Linked DNA regions of Notamacropus eugenii. The protein of the gene in region 2 interacts with the protein of the main gene of each other region in a biochemical or structural test. Links are inferred from orthologs where the notes say so. Each region holds a gene or a part of one and is shown on either strand. Other genes may lie near its edges.

Region 1 (9,936 bases), on a different chromosome or scaffold from region 2:
AAGATTATGACAGTGAACAAATTCCCAAGATTGTGCCACCCACAGTTTCCAAGCTTGAAGTGTTACTTGGCATAATCAACCAGCTGGCTAGACAAATTGGGACTGTTGATCCCAGCATTGATGGCAGCCTCAAGGTTAAATGTCAGCTCACTTCTGCTATACTCCCATACTCTGAGGACACAGAAGATAGATTGGTCCCAATAATTATTTGCTCCAGTTTGGCCCTTAGCTTGCTTTCATGGGCAAGCAGTCTGTGCTCTCATTTCCAGAGGTCAGTATTCCAAACAGCTTGAACCACCTTAACCAAAGCATCACCCCTTACTGATAAATTAATATCTTGCCAATGTTAGGGAGAAAGAGGCTTATTCAAGCAAAGTGTTACAAAGTGACAACCAAAACTGGCCCTAAGCAAAACCATAAACACAGTCTGCATCTTCGGTGTCCTTTTCTGTCATTTCACTACCATACTCTCAGGGCAGCTAGGCGGCACAGTGGATAGAATGCTTGGCCCAGGGTCAGGAAGACATCTTTCTGAGTTAAAATCTGGCCTCAGATACTTACTAGCTGTGTGACTCTAGGTAAGTCACTTAACCCTGTTTGCCTCAGTTTCCTCATCTGTAAAATAAGCTGGCAAAGAAAATGGCAAGCCACTTCAGCACCTTTGCAAAAAAACCCCTAAATGGGATCATGTAGAGAAGGACACAACTGAAAAACAATTCAACAATTCTGGAATACCCAGTCCTTTTGTCTTAAATTCAGAACATGGTGATATTGGAGCAAGTGCTAACCTGTAAACCTACTGCTTACCTTCTTGGGGTGTAAGTGTAGTTGACTGGAAAAGCATTGACTCTAAAGCCAGAAACCTTAGGTTCAAATCCTACTGCAACCATTTACTAGGTCTAGGACCTTGGGTAAGTCACTTTTTCTCCTGTTTCCTCAAATGTAAAATTAGAAACTGGAGTGGGTGATCTCTAAGGTCCCTTCTGGCTCTAGTTCTATGTTGTTTCCCTCCCAAAATCTTGATGATATAAATGTAGCTAGGGCAACTCATATCTCAAATGCTGCTAATGTCATCTAGTGGTGTTACTATATTATTCTCTTCTTAATCACATCACCTCTCCTTTGCATCCCTATACTGGTCCTGTGGTAGATTCTTCTACTGGTCTTGTGGTCATTGAATTTTTTCCTCTACTAGCTATTGAGATTAATCTCTCTTGAGCACTGTGGGATAGTGTATTTGGAGTTTGGAAGACTTGGTTTCAAATCCCCTATTGGACCATCTTAGCCATGTGACACTGGGAAAATCATTTCCCTTCTTTGTACTCTTAACTCCTTACTCATTGGATTACTTGGCTTCAGAGGTCTCCTCTAGCTCTAAATCTATAGTACTACATAATGTGATGACCTGTTGGATCTCTCAGCTCCTATGTAACCAGACATGTGACTTGATAGAGTAGGTTGAAATCTCTTTAGCCATTGATGAAGGTATGAGCCACCATAAACTCGTTGTTGTTGCTGCTACTCCTACTTCTCCTCCTCCTCCTTCTTCTTTTTCTTCTTCTTCTTCATGTTCTTCTTCTTCTCCTTCTGCCATGTACAGCTCTTCATGACCCAATTTGGGATTTTCCAGGCAAAGATACTAGAGTGGTTTGCCATTTCCTTCTCCAGCTCATTTTACAGATGAAGAAACTGACGCAAACAAGGTGAAGTTAGTTGACTATGGGAACAAGGCTAGTAAATGTCTGAGACCAAATTTGAACTCAGGTCTTCCTAACTTCTAACTTAGCACTCTATCCACTGCCACTTAGATTAGGGCCACCAAACAAAAGGTAGACCAGGTACCTCCAAGCTCAGATTCAATCTGTTTTTTGGATTTTCTCTTTCTGGTGCTGAGATCAATCATCCCAGACAACTCTCAGAGTTAGACATTCCTTGTAATTCCCATTTAACCTCTTAGAGAACCAAAACCCAGTTCCAGTGAACTTCCCAGAGAAATTCCATAGGAGCAGCATGTCTGGACAAAACCTACTTTTCTCCCAAGATCCTTTGCAGGGTGGTATGTAAATCAATAAGAGCAAGAAGACAGAGCAAAATCATTATCTTCCATTCTCCTAGCTTCTTTCCTACTTGTATTCTGTATGTCTATCAACAACAACAAATCAAAAGCAAAAACAAAACCAACCTTTATTTTGTGCTATGCTATTACAAATGAAAATGAAAGAAAAGGCATTTACCAAGTACTGACTATGTTGAAAGCACTCTGCTACATACTTGGAATAAAAAAAAGACAAGTGAAAAAACCCTCCTTTCAAGGAGTTCACATTATAATGGAGGAGGTTTAAGATGAGATTTAAGTTACATGAGATTTAAGTTACAAGTCAGAAAGAACTGAGCTACCATTGCAATATGGGATGCAAAAAAACCCTCTCATTTCTTCTTTTCGTCTTCAAAGTAATTCTAGAATGAAACTAACCATAGTCTTCCACATCTCTTTCTCCGAAGAAAAGGCAGCTCAGTAATATAGTCTTAGATATGAATGAAAAAGAAATCAGACTTGGGAAATATGTATTTGTATTATTTTTTAATGCCCTCTACAACCTGGCCCCAATGTATCATTTTAACCTCACTATGTCATACTCCCCTACCTACATTTTCTGGTCCACTCAAAATGGACCAGATGGCACTCCCTTCTATCATCTCCATGCCTTTACATTGGTCATTCTCTATGCATGGAAGGTACTTTTTACCTTTGCTTCCCAGAATCCCTCAGTTCCTTTGAGTCAAAGCTCTAATACCACTTTCTTTTTTTCTTAACAGTATTTTATTTTTTCCAATTACATGTAAAGATAGTTTTCAACATTCACTTTTGTAAAATTTTGAGTTCTAAATTTTTCTCTCTTTTCCCCTTCCCTCCTCCCTTCCCAAGATAGCAAACAATCTGATATAGGTTATACATGCACAGTCATGTTAAACATAATTCCACATTAATCATGGTGTGAAAGAAAAATCAGAACAAAAGGGAAAAACCATAAGAAAGAAAAAAGAAAAAAGTGAAAATAGTATGCTTCAATTTGCATTCAGAGTGTTCTTTCTCTAGATGTGGATAGCATTTTCCATCATGACTTTTTTGGAATTGTCTTGAATCATTGTATTGCTGAGAAGAGCTAAGTCTCTCGTAGTTAATCATCATACAGTGTTGCTATTGTTGTATACAATGTTCTCCTGGTTCTGCTCACTTCACTCAGCATCAGTTCATCTAAGTCTTTCCAGGTTTTTCTGAAGTCCTCCTGCTTATCAATAGTATTCCATTACCTTCATATACCACAACTTGTTCAACCATTCCTCAATTGATGGGCATCCCCACAATTTCCAATTCTTTACCATCACAAAAAGAGCTGCTATAAATATTTTTGTACATGTGGGTCCTTTCTCCTTTTTTATGATCTCTTTGGATTACAGACCTACTAGTAGTATTGCTGGATTAAAGGGTACACACAGTTTTACAGCCCTTTGGACATAGTTCCAAATTGCTCTCCAGAATGGTTGGATCAGTTCACAACCCTGCCAACAATGCAGCAGAGTTCTAATTTTCTCACATCTTCTCCAACATTTATCATTTTCCTTTTCTGTCATATTAGCCAATTCTGGTGGTAAATTGCTGCACTGTTTTTGCTAATATTTCATTTAAATTTTTGCATTAATATTCATATTCAATTAATACACTAATTTGTCTATAATTTTCTTTCTCTGTTTTGGTGTTTTCTGGTTTTGGCATCAGAACCACTTTGTGTCATAAAAGGAATGTGGTAGGACTTCACCTATTTTTTCAAATAGTTTATATAGTATCAGAATTCATTGTTCTTTAAATGTCTAGCACAACTTTTCACACAAAGTTTTTCCTAATCCCACCCCCTTCAAACTGCTACAGTCCTCCTTCCTTATCTTGAGTTTGTTTTTGTATTTAATCTCTCTATATATTTATATGTAAAATACACATTCATACAATACATATATATGTATACACACATACATATATATACATATTACATGTAGTACCCAATATTAAAGGTAAACTCCTTGAGAACTTGTATTGTCCAATTTTTTGTTTGTTTTTGTATCTACAGTACCTATGGCACTATAAATCTGATCAGTTCATTAATTACCTAATATGGGATTTTCAGTCTTTTTTCTTCTAGTCTTTTTCTTCACTTCCCACTAACTGCTCTCCTTGGTTTTGATTCATTTCCCTTTGCCAGGTACTCATGCTCTCCCCTCCCCAATTCTTCCTTTTCTGTATCATCTTCCCCCATTAAATTATGAACTTAAGGGCAGGGATTATTTTTCCTTTTTTATTTGCATCCCCAGCTCTTAGCATAATGCCTGGTGCATATTAAGTGATACATGTATATATGTATATATGTGTACATGTACATACACACACACAGACTGACTCTTTCTGAACCATAGGCATGACCAACTGCTAAGAATTCTTCTTTAATCTAAATTGAATTCAAATACTCATAAGAGTATAAACCCACAGTTTGTTACCACAAACTCAAGGTCCCATGATAGTCTTTTATGTCCTCTACAAGAAACAGAGTAGTCCCAGCCTGATTTTACTTCAAAACCCGAGCCTGAAGTCCTTGATAATATTTATCACTAAATTAACATTGTTTTACTATCAGTAGAACCAATCATATAAAATATAAGACACAACTGAAGTCTCTTTATCCTAGGATTCTACACAGAGTTTCCAGTGACAGAAAGTCTGTCTGACACAAATTCACTTTCCCAAGTGCCACCTGGAGTAGTCCAGTCTTGCTCAGATACTCTTCCCTAAGATTTCTAGAATCCTAAAATTCTAGAATTTTGAAGTTACAAGGGATCTCAAAGGCTATCTAATAGAAGCCCACCTCTGAAGAATGAGTATTTTTTCTTTCTTCTATTTTTTTTTGGGGGGGGGAAGCAATTTGGGTTAAGTGATTTGCCCAAGGCCACACAGCTAGTATGTGCCAAGTATATGAGGCCTTATTTGAACTCAGGTCCTCGTGACTCTATGCACGGTACTCTGTCCGCTGCACCACCAGCCCTGTGACTGCTTTTTCTTTAGTCCCATCACTTTCTCTTTAGTGCCCAATGTGTGAGGTGTCCAAGCCAAGGACAGCTGGAGAACTAATGACCTTTAAAGCTGGGAAAGAAGCAAGGAGTCTTCTATTGTCGTTTCCTGAACTATCCCCTGACTCCGTTTTCATAAGATCTTTCTAGTCTCTAAATTCTTACAGGAAATTGATTTGTTGTCACCACCAAGAATGGTTTACTATCATTGTGGATTTCTATTCCTACGGGAGTTAGAGATGGAAAAGTTGATAAAAAATTATTATTTTAATACAGATCTCTGCTTCTCAGAGGGGATTCAGAGGGGACAAAGGGAGGGGAGGGAAAAGAAATAGAGAAGAAAGGAGGAACCTCTTGAGTCAGAGTCAACTGTCAAGTGGGCTGCTTCGCCTAGAGAGGCAACTTGCCCTGGAGGGCCAGGTCAGACAGGACTCTGTCATACAGAACTGACGCATGGACAAGGGGCAGGAGGTGGAGGCGGAGGGAGGTGGAGAGGAGGCAGAAGGCTGGTGACGCGCGCCAAGAGGCTCAGAGCAGGCTCAGCCCACGGGTTCTGGAGATTTAAAAGTTTGGGGACAGAAGGGCTGTCAGATCGGCAGCTTCACAGTGGGAAGCAAAGAACAAGTGATCCCAGGACACTCGAGGCCACTAGGAGGGGCCTGTGAGGAACTTGGGGACCACATACGCGCTCGGCTGTAGAAATCGACAGCCCAACAAGCATCTCTGGGCAGCGAGAAAACTCAAGGATGCCCAGGGATCACAGCTGCCGTCAGCTGCCTCCTCTGACTGGCTACACCAGGGCTGAGAAACAGCTTTTGGGATGTGGACGTCCAGCTGCTCCCCTCCTCCTGCTGCTCCTCGCTTCCTGGGCATGCGTCTGCCAAGGTAAGGAACCTGCCTACCTCTTCTTTAAGTGCCTGTTCAGGTAGTCCAATCCTGGACCCGTTTAAGAGCCAGGAGGGCAGACTAGAGGAACTTAGGCACCCATTCGCTCCCCTCACAAACACCCTCTTCTTTACTCACGAAATCACCCTTCCTTTCCTTCTCTCCTTCAGCTTTCTTCTCTCCACTGTCCGTTGCTTCCCGGTTCCCTTTCTCTGGCTCCACTGATGGGTCCTGAAACTGCAGCTGGAAGGAATATCGGAGATGATTTTTTAGTCCAAACACAGATGAGGGCGAAGTTTAATTTAACCCGTCATTTGTCCTTACTTATGTAACCTTTAGTGGTCTGCGTGGCTATTTCTTCCTCCCATGCAGCTAGAGAACATGCTTTCTCGTTCGCTAGGATTTTCCTACATTTTCTTTTTTACCATCTCGGAGCTCTAGCGATATTTGACAACTCTCAGCTTGAATTTCCAGAGGAATAGTCCATTCGTTCAATTCAGCATTCACAGACGACCTTCTAACACATGCTTAAGGCACTGAATCCTCTCCATGTTTGAGAAGTATTTGCTGAGGCTACTTTAGTGTGGAATAAGATGACTGACAGCAGTGCGTGATACCTGAGCTCCACAAACACCTGTGCTCACAATCACAGCATTAGAGGGCGTGGTTTAGACCTCACACTAGGCTTTCGGTCTTGACAAGTGAAAGAATAACGGTTATTAGCCATTTGTTTGGAAGGGTGCGGAGGGAAGGAGTCGCAGGTGGCGGAATAGAGAAATTGTGTCATTGGGATCCCAGGTTCATGGATTGGAGCTGAAAGCAAGCTTAGAGTTCCTATCCTACAGCTCCTTCATTTTTCATGTGGAGAAACTGAGGTCCATGGATGTTAAATAACTTTCCCATGGTCACTCAAATGGTAAATGGAGAACAAAGAACCTTCGCCAGGGTCTCTGATTAGGCAAACTGGCGTACAGCGTTCTGATGACTGAAGCTGGGAGGTAACACAGGAAGTTTCATAGCTCACTGAACTGGTCTTACAGTCTGGCTTCCAGTCAAGGATTTTGCATTTGAATAGGTGTAGGACCTTGGACAAATTACTTGCCCCCTCTAAGATTCAATTTCTTCATCTGCAAAATGAAGATAATTCTTTTTGGATTATTTTACCAAGATAATTTCTGTATCAAATGAGGTTTTACATACATAAAGCTCTTTATAGTATTAAAACATCACATAAATGTTGATTATTATCATTAGCTAATCACTAATTAGTCCTAAGAGCAGAGGTTTACTGCTTTCTGGAAATCCTTGATACCTGATGGTCTAGAAACCCTTGGATCCTGAAATTTGTAAGGACAATTATAAAAGTACTTGGAGCACTCATTTTTAAAGGATATGGTATATATCTATATATCAGTAGCCGAGAGAGACAGACAGACAAAGAAATAGACAATAGATAGAGACAAAGAGTGAGTGATTTAGAAGCTAGAGAGCCAGACTTCACATAAAGACCTGGGTAATATTTCTACATCAGACCTATATGGTTTACATGAGCCTAAGCAATTCACTTAGCTTCTTAGTGCCCACAAAAATCTCTAAAATTATAAGTTGAAAAATCATGTTGTTTAGATCTGTTGCTAGGTAGATTTCCCTATTCCAAAGAAATCACAGGTTTGATTTCCTTAAAATCCATAATAAAATGTTGGAAGGAAATTATGAACTTTTCAATATATTTTATGAACAACAGAAATCTTTCCACCATGATTTTTATTTTACATGATTTGTGATGGAAATTTTAAAAATTTAATATAGAAGAGAAATTATTTTCTGGAGATATTCAAAGTAATTTTTTTTTATTTTAATGTAGTCATGGTAAAGAAACAGGATATACAGTGAAATGAACTCTAAACTGAAAGTTAGGAGACTGGCTTGATTCTCCCATTTTGTAGCAGTTGGATCTTCCATGAGTTCCAACCTCTCTAAGTATCAGTTTCCTCATTATTAAAATGGGGAAGGGAATTGAACTAGAACAGGGGTTCTTAACTTTAGATCCACAAAGGATCCCTGGATAGATTTCAGTATCCATGAACTTGGATGGGGAAAAAAATTACATCTGTATTTTCACTATCCTTAAATGAAATTTAGCATTTCCTTCAAATATTTTGAGAAGGTTTCACGAAGCTGCCAAAGGGTTTGACACAAAAAAATGTCAAGAACCATGGGCTGACTGGTATCTTTAGAATTTCTTTCAGCTTTGTATTATTTGAAGGTTAGCTAAAACCTTCATTCCTTTTAATTCTACAATGCTCTAGCCACTATCTTTCATTACTGTCAATTAGAAAATAGGTATTAGAATCCAAATACATAAAAATATAGAGGAATTATATGAGCTTAGAAGAATAGAATGAAAGGAGTTAAACTGGAAAGAATTGACTTTAAAACTAGTTTGCTTTTATTTCCAGGTGTTCCAGTATCACCTCTGGCAATACAGACAAACAAAGAGTTACAGCTATGGAACGAGGTAAAAGAAATTGTTATATCTTTTCTTCCTTTAAAGCTACTGTAGCTCAGATTTTAAAGACAAATTTGAATGTAATTATCCCCCCAGCTTAAAAATGAAAAACCAAAAAATGTAGCATTGTAACTGAGAATTGGAAATCTGTGATTTTCTGTTTTAATAAGTTTATACTTTTATGTTTACTTTACAATCATTTTGGAACCTATGTTCACACTTTCATTAAAACTCCTCTTATAACAAAGTTAATAATTAAGTAAAACATATGCAACAGTGACTATATCTGACAATACAATCAACATTCTGCCCTGACAAGTCCTTGTGCTATGACAAGGAATGAATGTTTTGTTATCTATTGTCCAGAATCATCGTTAACTTTTTCAATTATTCAAAGTTTGTCTTCCTTTAATGATCTTTCAATCAATTAATACTTTTAACATTTATATATTGTAAAAATATATATATATATACATACGTACATGTATGTATGTGTGTATTTGTGTGTGTGTGTGTGTGTGGCACAGTGGATAGAGTACCAGGCCTGGAATCAGGAATACTCCTCTTCCTAAGTTCAAATACAACCTCAGACACTTACAAACTGTGTAACCCTGTGCAAGGTTCTTAACCCTGTTTGCCTCAGTTTCCTTGTCTGCGAAATGAGCTGGAGAAGGAAATGGCAAATCACTCTGGTATCTTTGCCAAGAAAACCCAAATTGGAGTCACAAAGAGTTGGACATAACTGAAAAATGGCTAAGCAACAAGAATATAATATACATTATATAGATACACACACACACACATACACACACATATATGGAGAGAGAGAGAGAGAGAGAGAGAGAGAGAGAGAGAGAGAGAGAGAGAGAGAGAGAGAGAGAGAGAGAGAGAGAGAGTTCTGCTTATTTCCTTCTGGATCAGGTCCTATAAAGCTTCCCATGTTTCTCTGAATTCCTCCTGTTTGCCATTTCTTACTGTAAAATAATATTACATTACTTCTTAGAACATTGTTTTTTCAGTCGTTCCTCAACTGATGTGTACTCACTTTATTTCCAGTTCTTTGCTACCATGAATATTTTGGTATATATGGGACCTTTATCTTTAACTCCATTTGGGATATGTACCCAGTAGTGGGATCACTAGATCAGAAGATATGGAGAGTTTAGTCACTTCTCATATAATTCCAAATTGAAATCCAAAATATTTAGCCAATTCATAGTTACACCAATATCGTTTTACTGTGCTTGTCTTCCCATAGCACTGTCAATATTAAACTTTCCTATTTTCTATCATCTTTGTTGATTTGCAGGTTTGAGGTAAAATCTATGAATTATTTTAGTTTGTATTTACTTCACTATTAGTATTCCATAGCATTTTTTTCCAAATGGTTATTTATAGTTTGCAATTCTTTTGAAAATTAACTTACT
Region 2 (10,644 bases):
AAGCAGGGTCATCTCAGTGAGCAAATGCCCTCGGTCTTTCCTTTGGATGTCTCTTTTTTGTCCCTAACTCATGTCCCTCATCACTACTTTACAATGACTTCCACCCATCTACTCCCCAAATGTTCATCTCTGGCATCTCTGTCCACCAACTACCAAACAGCTCTGGGACTGGGCTAGTTTTTCAAATCCCTAGACTCCAGTTTTTGCACTTAGGAAAAGAGGTAGGGAAGGGAGATGACCTGGGGGAGGTGGATGGCGTCATGAGCTCTCCAAAGACATTTATATGCAGATAACACACCATCTAAAAGGAGCTTTGCCTTACACCTTTACATAAATATTTTGTGTTTACTAATAGTTTCCTTCCGGTTCTTTGAAGGAAATAGGGGGCCCAGGTTTCCCTTGGTTTACTCAGGGAGAAATCTGATGCGCGAAGAGAGAAATTTATCTCCCAAGAATATTGTTATCAAGCATTTATTAAGTTTCTACTATGTGCCAAACGGTGTGCTGAGGAACAGGCAGTTGGGAAACAGTTTGGAAAACAGTAGAAAGGCAGGCAGAGAGAGGTGGGGGAGAGAGAGGAGGAAGGGAGAGGAGGAGGGGGACAAAGGAGGAGAAGGAGGAAGGGGAGAATGGGAGAAAGAGGGGAAGGGGAGAAGGAAAGGAGGGAGGAGAGGGAGGTGAGAAGGGAGGGAGAGGGACAGGAAGGAGGGGAGAGGAGGATGAAAGGAGGAGAAGGAGGAAGGGGAAAGTGGGAGAAAGAGGGGCAGGGGAGAAGGAAAGAGGGGAGGAGAAGGAGGGGAGGAGGGAGAAGGGAGTAGAAGGAGGAAAGGAGAAAGTGACCTGCTCCCTACCTGGCTCAGGCAGGAGCCTTGTACGAAGACAGATGGGGAACCTTTAGTCAATTCTCCAATCCAATGAGCATTTTCCCAGTGTTCCCAGACATGGTGAGGTGAAGGGAAAACGAAAGACAAAATGAAATAATCCTGCTTTCAAGAAGCTTCTATTCTACTGGAGAAATAAAACAATTCCAGACAAATAAATAGAGTATAATCCAAAGAAAGACGCAGTAATTTTTGTGGGGAGGAGTGCTCACAACTGGGAGATCAGGACTGGTTTCATGTAGGGACCTTGAGCTGAGCCTTGAAAGATACTAGTCCAAGGCAACATGGTTAGTATATACATTGTTCCAGTTTTCCTGGATGGGGGCTATGAGCAAAGTGATCCAGAAAATCCATCCTGGTTTTCCTAGGCCCTCTGATACAACATTTATATGGATATTATTGTGCCCATTTTCAGATAGGGAGACAGAAGAATGGTGTCTCAGTGACTGCATTCAGGGCTAGGACCCAAACTTTAGACTTGGCTCTTGCACCTCTCGGATCCCCAGGGAGCACAGGGAGAGGGTAAAAGATAGGACTCCAGCGAGGAAGCCACCTTTGGAGTCACTGCTCCCTTAGAATGCTGGGGGCTGGCTGGCTTGTACATGGACACCTGCTAGGTACATCCTCTGGGCTGTTTCAGGGTACATCGTGACCTAGGACATGATTCCAGAAGATAAGCTTCCGAGTTTACCCACCATTAGCTCTTCCTGGATCCTCCCAACCCTATTCTTAGACCATCTTTCTTCAGGACTTAGAGAGGGTGTTATCTAGTTCCCACCCACCCCATTTTAAAAAGGAAAAGATTGAGGCTTAAAGATGTTAAGGTAATAGACCCCTTGCTCAAACCAAAGTCCTCTCTCCATGATGCCAAGTCTGCTTTTAAGGCAATAAACATGTTGGGTGTGAGATGCCTATGGGGTATTCAGTTGTGGGAATTCAACAAGTGATATGAGACTGGAGCTCAAAGGGTGATGGGGGTAGGATCTATGGACTGAGAGTCATCTGTGGGAGACAATAATTAAACCCATGGGGGTCCATGATGTCACTAAAAGGGAGGGGGGCTCAAGACAGGGCCTTGAGGGATACTTCAGTCCTCAAGGCATTGGGAAGGAGATATCTGGTTCCCCCGAGTTTTTTTTAATCAGAAATTCAAACCAAAAGAAGAGAAGAAAGCAGACAGTCACGGCTGAATGAACTGGTGAAATATTGTTCTCGGAGGAGCCTGGCATGGTGGTGACAGAGGGAAGGGCCTGGACAGGTCTAGAATTTCCCCTCCCCTGCCAGCTCAACTAGCTTTTATTACAGCCCCAACTTTCCAGATTTCATGCCACTTTTGAGGGTTGGAAGTGGAGACAGGATGAAGATTACTCTTTCTCTAATACTGTGCAATCCAAGTTGCTTACTGACTTTGCTGTCTAAGTAGGGTACTATGCAGTGACCATGTTATGTGGACAGCTCTCCTTTTTCCAAGTATCATACCACATCAGGAAAACTTCCTCCCTGTTTTTCTCTCTGGGGCCACTAGGTGGCACTATGATAGAGCAAGAGGTTTGGAGTCAGGAGGACCTGAGTTCAAATGTGACCCTGGGAAAGTCACTCCATCCTCCTGCTCTCAGTTTCCTCATCTGGCATATGAGCTGGAGAAGGAAATGGCAAACCACTGCAGTATCTTTGCCAAGAAAATCCCAAATGGGGTTACAGAGTCAGACGCAACTGAAATGACTGAAGAGCAACCTTTCTCTCTAGGTCTGATCCACAAACTCTTGACTTTTGGGGTGGCCCACAAGAAAATTCCTAAGACTGGGGCTAAACTAAATTTGAGGTCACATAGCCTAAAGAATTCAAAATTCTGCATCCCTCTCTATAGGACGCAGTGTTCTTGAACTCACTTCTCAGAACTCATGTAAGTACATACTCACCATTGCCATGTGCCTTCTGGAGAGAGGGAGAAACTGTTTACTCAAACTCCACCTCCTTATTGCACTACAGAGGATGGTGTTGGGGAAAGAAGCTGGAATCCTGAAGAACCAGAGTCCAGGAGATGACCAGCTTGCTCCCTTAGGTAAGAAAGAGAGAACAAGGATCTTCAGTCAGTCTGGCAGTAGGAGATCCCAATGTCCTATGGCTGCCTCCAAACAACGGCCTAAATACTAAAATCAAGGAATTCTCTTGATCCGTTGCTCTCATACTGAAAGAGAAGGAAAGGAAAAGTGAGCAGCTGCCCTCACAACTAGCAATGAGGGTGACACAACTCTCTCTTCCCCTCCCCTCTTCTCCTCCCCTCTCTTCTTCTCCTCCTCTCCTCTCCCCTTCCCTCTTCTTCCTTCCTCTCCCCTTCCACCCTTTCCTCCTTCCCTTCCTCTCTCCTTTCCCCTTCCACTATATCTAGGTAAGCCTCCCATGCTTCAGTTTCCTCACCTGTAAAATAGGGAGGGGATAAGGTTCCTTTTAGATTCTTGCCCAGAATCAGGCTGGTAAGGACCTGAGGCAGGATTTGAACTCAGGTCTTCCTGACTCTAGCCTTCTATTCATAGTTCCCCACTACCCCTAGCCATGTAGATTGTGAAGTGCCTTTAATTGCATTTGTATGTGATCTCCTTAAATGAAACAGTCTTGGCTAGACCTTGCTGAACTCCTACACAATTTACCGCGAGCTGCCCTGTACATGTCTTATCTCTCTCAGATTCTAATATCTCTGAGGGCTTCCACGGTGGCTTGGATCTCTGCTATTCCCCACAATGCCTTGAACAGAGGAAACAATGGATCAATATTTGCTGAATGAATAAATTTATGGTCTCCTTCCTCTCCTTCCCCTGTGGGGACCTAGGCACCCTCTGCTGCCAACATGCCTGCTTTGCCCACTGGGCTGCCCTGTCAGGTTCTGAAGCCATCCACTAGTTTGTGACCTGATCATTCTCTTCAGGAGTAGGAACATCCTGGGTCCTGTGACTTTAGTGCCTTCTTCTTTCCTCCCATGGCCAAAGCAGAGCTCATTATCTTTCCCTTCAAGTCTGCTGCTCAAATAAATGTCCCCATTACTGTCATGGGCGTTACTGTCTCTCCTAAGGTTTCCAGGACTCCCTGCTCCCCTTCGCTCATATCTAGTGGATCACTCAGGTTCGTCTCTTCTGTTTCCATTTGACCCCTTCCCTCCACTACCACAGTCCCTGTTCTAGCTCTGTTTCCCCTCCCATCTCATCTCAGCTATTTCAGTTGCCTCCTATTCCATTTCCCTTCCTCAATCCATCTTCCATGAAGCCCCCAAATGATCTCCCTGAAGCACATCTGACAGGTTACTCTCCTCCTCAAGAAACTCTAGTGGCTCCCAATGACCACTGGGGACAAATATAAACTGTTTGGCACATGAAGCCTTGCACAACGTGGTTGTAACCTACTTTTCTAGCTTTATTGTGTGTTTCTCTCTTTGCTGCACTCTACAGCCAAACTGACCTTCTCACACATGACTTTATGCCTCCTGTCTCCACGTTTTTACACAATCTCCCCCTCCCCCTTCATTCCTGACCCCCTCCTCTCCTTCCCGACCTCTGACCCTTAGAATCCTTGCTGTTCAATCACTCACTTCTGTCCAACTCTTCAAGTCTTATAGATCATGAGCCTCCACTAGCATGTTTTCCATTAACAATAAGCCAGTAGATACAATTATCTCTTGGCAAAGATATTTATTAAGGCAGCAAAGTAAAAAAAGTAGCTGTAAAACATTTCTACCATAAACCTGGGGCACACTCTCCCACAAATACACACAGCATCCATGGTAAGAGCAGGCTCAACTTTTGAGTACAACAAGACAGTGGAGAGACGTGTATATGTGTACAGAAAAGGCAACTCACAAGTTTTGGTACTGCAAGGCCTCCAAGTCTTTTCTTTCTTTGGAAAGTCTTCATATAGACTGCTAGGTGGTGCAGAGGATGGAGCCCCAGGTCTGGAGTCAGAAAGCTTCATCTTTGTGAGCTCAGGTCCAGCCTCAGACTCTTACTAGCTGTGTGACCCCGGGCAAGTCACTTAACCCCATTTGCCTCAGTTTCCTTATCTGTAAAATGAGCTGGAGAAGGAAATGGCAGTATCTCTGCCAAGAAAACCCCAAATGGGGTCACAGAGAGTCAGACATGACTGAATAACAACAGATTCATGCATCTCCCTTTGAGAGTGTCAACCTGAAAGCTTGGTTAAAGAGGCAAACAGACTAGGTGACGTGTAAATTCATATTGTTTATTTCCTCACAGCTAGCCAAAGCTAGTTTAACCTATACGTACAAGGAACCAAAACATAAATTTTGACTGTCTGATACAAAATGACCAGCCTTAAATCTGTTTTAAGACAATCCCAGGATGTCTGTGTCCCTCAGATTTATAATCCCCATGTGTCTTTAATTATGCCATGAGAAAGGAACTTTCTTAATTGAATAGGTGGTAAATACAATGAAAGTTGACAAAGTGTCAGTTTAAATTATGACCCAGGATATCTGTGTTTTCTTTATCATTAACATGCCATAACATAGTATGTATCCAAAAATATTAAGATACGGAAAAGTCCCATTATTCAAGATAGTTTCTCGGGTTAAGGGTCACATCCTTAAACAGAGGAAAAATGCTCTTAAGTCAACCCCATGTGGCCTTATTGACATAGGAAGAGGTATTTTCTGAGTTTACTCAGAGAACAAAGAGGCTGTTAGATCTAGGCTCTTCTTCTGATTGGTTAGGTCAGGCTCTGGACCTTATTAAAGTCCAAAAATGATATTAAATGATCACCATTTGCAATGGCTCTGGTTCCTAGATTCTTTTTCCCATGTCTTCTCCTCTCTGCAGGTGTCTCACTTCTCTCCTACCAGCTGTCTTGTGGATATGTGCCTCTGTTTCTTCAATTTCTGCCTCAAACTCTCTAAAATAATGAATTCCTGGATTTGTCTCCTGGGTGGGACATCTCCCTCTGGGCAAGTCATTCTAGAGGCCACAGTCACTGTGGGGAATGGGGCAAGGAGAGGAAAATATCCTTCTCAATACTTTTCTGAGCCTGTGCTCCCTACAGGAATGCTTTCCTGCCTTAGCTACGGAAGACCCTGACACCTTTTGAGGTGTTCTTCCCAGTAAGATCGCTCCCTTTAATTCTGTCAGCAAAAGGGGAGTCACATTTGAAAGGGGTCACCACATGTGGCAGCAAACTTATACTTAGTTTAATGCCCTGTGAATTCGTATTAGAAGCTCATTATCTGTGACTAAAACAACTTATCTGGGAAAGAAGAAATCTCACCTTCCTCCCTTATATCAGGGACTTTGTATAGGTACAGATCTTTGATAGAATGAAATATCCTTGAAGGCAGTCAACAAACAAACATTTATTGAGCACCTGTTATATACCAGATACTCACTGTGTTAGGAGCTTCTGAGGATACAAAGAAATGTGGGAAAGACTCCTTGCCTCTCATTCTCTAGAGGGAAATACCGATATATGTAAATATAGGGGCAGGGAACCCCCCACACAGTAGGTGCTTAATAAGTGCTTGTTGATTGACTGTTATCTCCTCCATGAGAACTTAATCTACTTGAGGACAGGACAGTTTTGCTTTGTATCACCAAAGCTTAGCATGCCTGGTACCAGGCACACCGTGGGCACTTAGCACTTAATGATTTTTTGGTTTTTAGGCACTGCTGCCTGGAGATGGGAGGAGATCTAGGTGCTGAGAAAAAGATGAGTTATTATCATCACCCTCTACACTGGTGTCACCTAGACAGGCAGAGCGAGGACTCCCACCCTCAGCCAGGACTATGCTCTTTCTGGTGGACAGAGTGGCTACGCCCTCTGCCCCCTGTCCTGCAAGCTGGGCAGTGTGCTTCATCATTGGTCATCTGGAATCATGGCTGGTCATGGCATGACTGTTCTCTGGTTTCTCTAAACCTGTCTCTTTCATTATTTCTTATGGCACCGCAGGATTCCATTCCATTGTCCAGCCATTCCCCAGGTGATGGGCACCCTTTTGATTCCCAATTCCCAACACCCCCATCCTGCGGATGAAGAAACAGAGATCTAGGGAGATGCAGTGACTTGCTTCAGAGGTCTCATCCAATGTCCTGAGCAAGGGAAGGCTGGCCTACAGCTTGACTTGATGTATCTGTCAGCCCTTGTGTTGAACAGAACCCAGGTCTGCTGACTCCTGGAGCCCACGATACCTCCCTCAGGTCAGCCTCAGGATCGGGTAGAGCAAGGGTCCAATGCTGGAGCAGCTACCAGCTGATCCTATATCCTCCACCCATCTCTCTGCTCTGCCCTTGGGTGCCAGCAAGGCTCTGCCTTGGACAGGAACCTTTCCTCTCCATGTAAAGACAGAGCCTCCCTCAGCACCAAGAAGTTGGCTCCTCCCAGAGCTGAGATGAGGCGTTTCTGTGCCCGAGTGATGTTTGAGAGTGAAGTGTTTTGTTCTTTGTGACTGTCCAGTGACACCTTTGAACCTTCCCTGCAATACAGAGACCTGGCTAATGGAGGCAGTAGAGGGTCTGGGAAAGGGCCGGAGGGGGAGCCAGGGAATTATTATCACTATTGTCATCATCGTCATCAGATAACAAACAAGGCTTTAAGGGTTACAATGTATCATCTTATTTGAACTCAACAACTGGCAAATAAAGGATAGAATTATTCCCATTTTTCAGATGAGAAAATTAAGATAATAGAACACTTAAAAATACACAGAAAAACCCCCAGAGTTTAGAAGGGGACAAAGAATCACAGAATTTAAATGTTGGAAGGGACCTCAGATGGATCCACATACAAAAGGAATTCCCTCTATAACATCCCCCCAAATGGCCATCGAAGCCTTCCAAGGAAGGGCAATTTGGCTGCTACTTTGTAAAACTGAAAATACTTAAAAGTTCAGTTTGATACACAATCCTCTTTTTTTGAGTTCTTTGTACATTGAAATGCTTGTTAATGATTATTAAATTTGCAATAAGTGGCTAGCTGGCTGGTATAGTGGCTAGAGCACTGGGCTCTGAGTTCAAATCGTCCCTAAGACGCCTCCAGCTATGTGAGCGTCTGTTTTATCTTTTAATCTGAGTTTCTTCATCTGTAAAATGGGGATTATAAAAGCCCATGCTTCCCAGAGTTGCTATGAAAATCAAATGAAAGAGCTTACTTGGAGTACCTTGCAAACTTCAGTGCACTATAGCAGCTTAGTTATTATTATTATAAATAAGATTTTTTTAAAATAAAAGGAACTGTCTCAGACAGGTTAAGTAAACTGTTTGTAGTCATAATGCTCATTTAGTTTTTAAGGTTTCCCAGGGGATTATCTCATTTGCGCCTCACAGCTGCCCCAAAAGGAAGAGAAGTAATATTGTCGAACCCATTTTACAGATGAACATGTGGTATTTACCAGGCATGGCATATATTCCAGCTTGGACTGAGCATTTGGTTCATGGAAAAGATAAGGCTGGAGAGATGATTTGGGCCAAACCTAGAGGCATCATCGAATGTCAGAATAAGGAGTTTAGATTTCATCCAGAAGGCAATGGGAAGGCACAGTTGAGTTTTGAACGGGGAGATATTTGATCAGATCTGGTTGTGCATGCAAGACAGACTGGGCTATCACACCCCTCATCACCCCTTTCTGCTGAGATACAGTCTGGGCAGTGACCAGGAGATGTTCACGGAGAAAGAAGGAGGCTGAAAGTCTCTGAGTGGAGGTGCCATGCTCAGAGTGTAGTCACTAGGAGGTGCCCAGGATGGCATCACTCTTGGTTGGCCCCAGACAGGGCTCTCTGTTGCTCATAGAATCACGGATTGAAAACTAGAGGGAACCCCTTCATTTTATAGATGGGGAAACTGAGGCTCAGAGATGATATGACTTTCCCAAGGTCATACAAGGATTAAATGACAGAATCAGAATTCAAACCCAGATCTAGTTCTCTTTCTTTCCTATTGAGCTAGGTAGCCCAGTGGGTAGAATGCTGGGCTTGGAGTCAACAAGGCCTAAATTCAAATCCTGCTTTAGAAACTTATTAGCTGTATGACTGGATAAGTCACTGATCTTTTCTGGGTCTCAGTTCTCCCCATCTGTAAAAATGAAGACATATCTAAAGTGGCTTCCTGCTCCAGCTTTGGGACTTCTCACGTGATTGATTCTCAATTTCTTTACCGACTTGTACTTCTCTGAGAATGGCCGTCAGCCCTCTCCAAACTGGCTCTAGCCCTCATTCCAGCTTTGTGGAGCATTAAAAAGAGCCTTGGATTTAATAAATGACAGAGAATTTACCTTGGTTAAACCTCTTAGCCCAGATGAGGCTCAGTTTCCTCCTCCATAAAATGGGTTGGGCCAGCTAGCTATGGAGGGAGGTTCTTTCCAGTTTGCAATGCTCCTAAGATCCTAAATCCTTGCCCTGTGAGGACAACACAGGACCAGAAATGTAAGGGCAGGCCCCTCCTCTGGGGGTGGGGCAGTGGGGGGGTAGGGAGCTGCCCCGGCGTGCCCTCCCGGGGCATTGCCCTCCCCCCTGGCATCGTGTCGAACTCACTTTCAGATGACTTAGTTTCTGAGTCACTGAGGACGTGGGGTGAGGTTGAGGAATGTAAAGGAATAAATGAGGGAGACTGGAGAGGGCTCAGCCCCTCGTCCCTTCACTAGACTCCTCCACTGAAAGCCAGGGGCCAGGGCTGGCTGCCCCATTGTTTTACAGAAGAGGGAACTGAGTCCCAGGAAACATCATCTGAAAGGATTTTCATTCCTTCATTCAATGAGTATTTATTAAGCACCTCCTGTGTACCACACATGGTCCTGGATGCTGGGCAGGTCCAGACAACCACAAAATGTCCTCTCTCCTCAGGGAGCAGAATGAGTGTGTGCAAAGTTAATACTGAAGCTGATCCTTGCAGGAGGATCGCACTAGCACCAGGAGGCATCAGCAAAGGCTCCAGGAATTTTGTAGGAAACCGAGAGGGGGGATTCTAGGAGAAGGAAATGAGGAGGGAAGGCAGTCCTGGAGGGAGGGACAAGAGAGGGGCAAAGTCATGGGGGCAGGAGATGGAATGTGGTGAGCATGGGATCTATCAGCAAGAAAGGCAATATGTTGGGAAGTAATCTCTAATAAGCCTGCAAAGGAGAGTGAAGCCAAGTTGGGGCAGGCTTTAAACACCAGCAGGAAAACAGGAGATCGAGGGAGGCTGGGATTTAATTGCTGTCTTCAGGAATCTGAGGCTATCCTGTGGAAGAGACTCCTGTTTGGCGCCAGAGGGCAGAGCTGCAGGATGGGAGGGAGTCGAAGGAAGAGAGCTGTCCTCAAGTAGAAATAGTGAGTGTCTCCTCACACACATGCACACGCACACATACTCATATGTGTACTCACACACACTCATATGTGTACTCACACATTACACACATACACACACTGAAAGTCATCTAGCACTTAGGGGTTGGGGGAGAGCAGTTGTGGAAGGGCATCTTGTTCATATGTGGGTGGGATGGTGTTTGAGACAGTGTGGTGCAGTGGAAAAACCCTGGGGTTTGGAGAAGTCAGAAGACCTAGGCTCAAAACCTGGATTTACTAGCTGTGTGACCCTGGGCAAGTCACTTGAGATCCTAATCAAGGCTCCTTGGAGACTCTTTCTGAACTTGGCTCCCGCCTGGTGGAATGGGAGTGGGAGGGCTGAAGATTGGTGAAGATTCCCTCCAGTGGATCTCTGGGGAAATACACTCATGCTGGGTGCATGGTCCCTCATGAGTGAAGGACTCCCAGAGGAGGGGGCGGTTAATCTTAGCGTC

What was found. The genes of interacting proteins can lie anywhere in the genome.
Region 1: the proteins of NMUR1 (region 2) and NMU form a complex in vitro, tested with the Homo sapiens proteins (2 studies listed by BioGRID). The link is inferred for Notamacropus eugenii from reciprocal best matches to the Homo sapiens genes NMUR1 and NMU.

The regions. Positions count from the first base shown.
Region 1 is NC_092877.1:107,020,535-107,030,470, reverse strand, and holds the start of NMU (neuromedin-U), read left to right. Parts: upstream 1-5,769; 5' UTR 5,770-5,861; coding exon 5,862-6,000; intron 6,001-8,459; coding exon 8,460-8,518; intron 8,519-9,936.
Region 2 is NC_092873.1:58,533,803-58,544,446, reverse strand, and holds the start of NMUR1 (neuromedin-U receptor 1), read right to left. Parts: upstream 5,023-10,644; 5' UTR 4,784-5,022; coding exon 4,730-4,783; intron 2,939-4,729; coding exon 2,801-2,938; intron 1-2,800. UniProt on the Homo sapiens protein: Receptor for the neuromedin-U and neuromedin-S neuropeptides.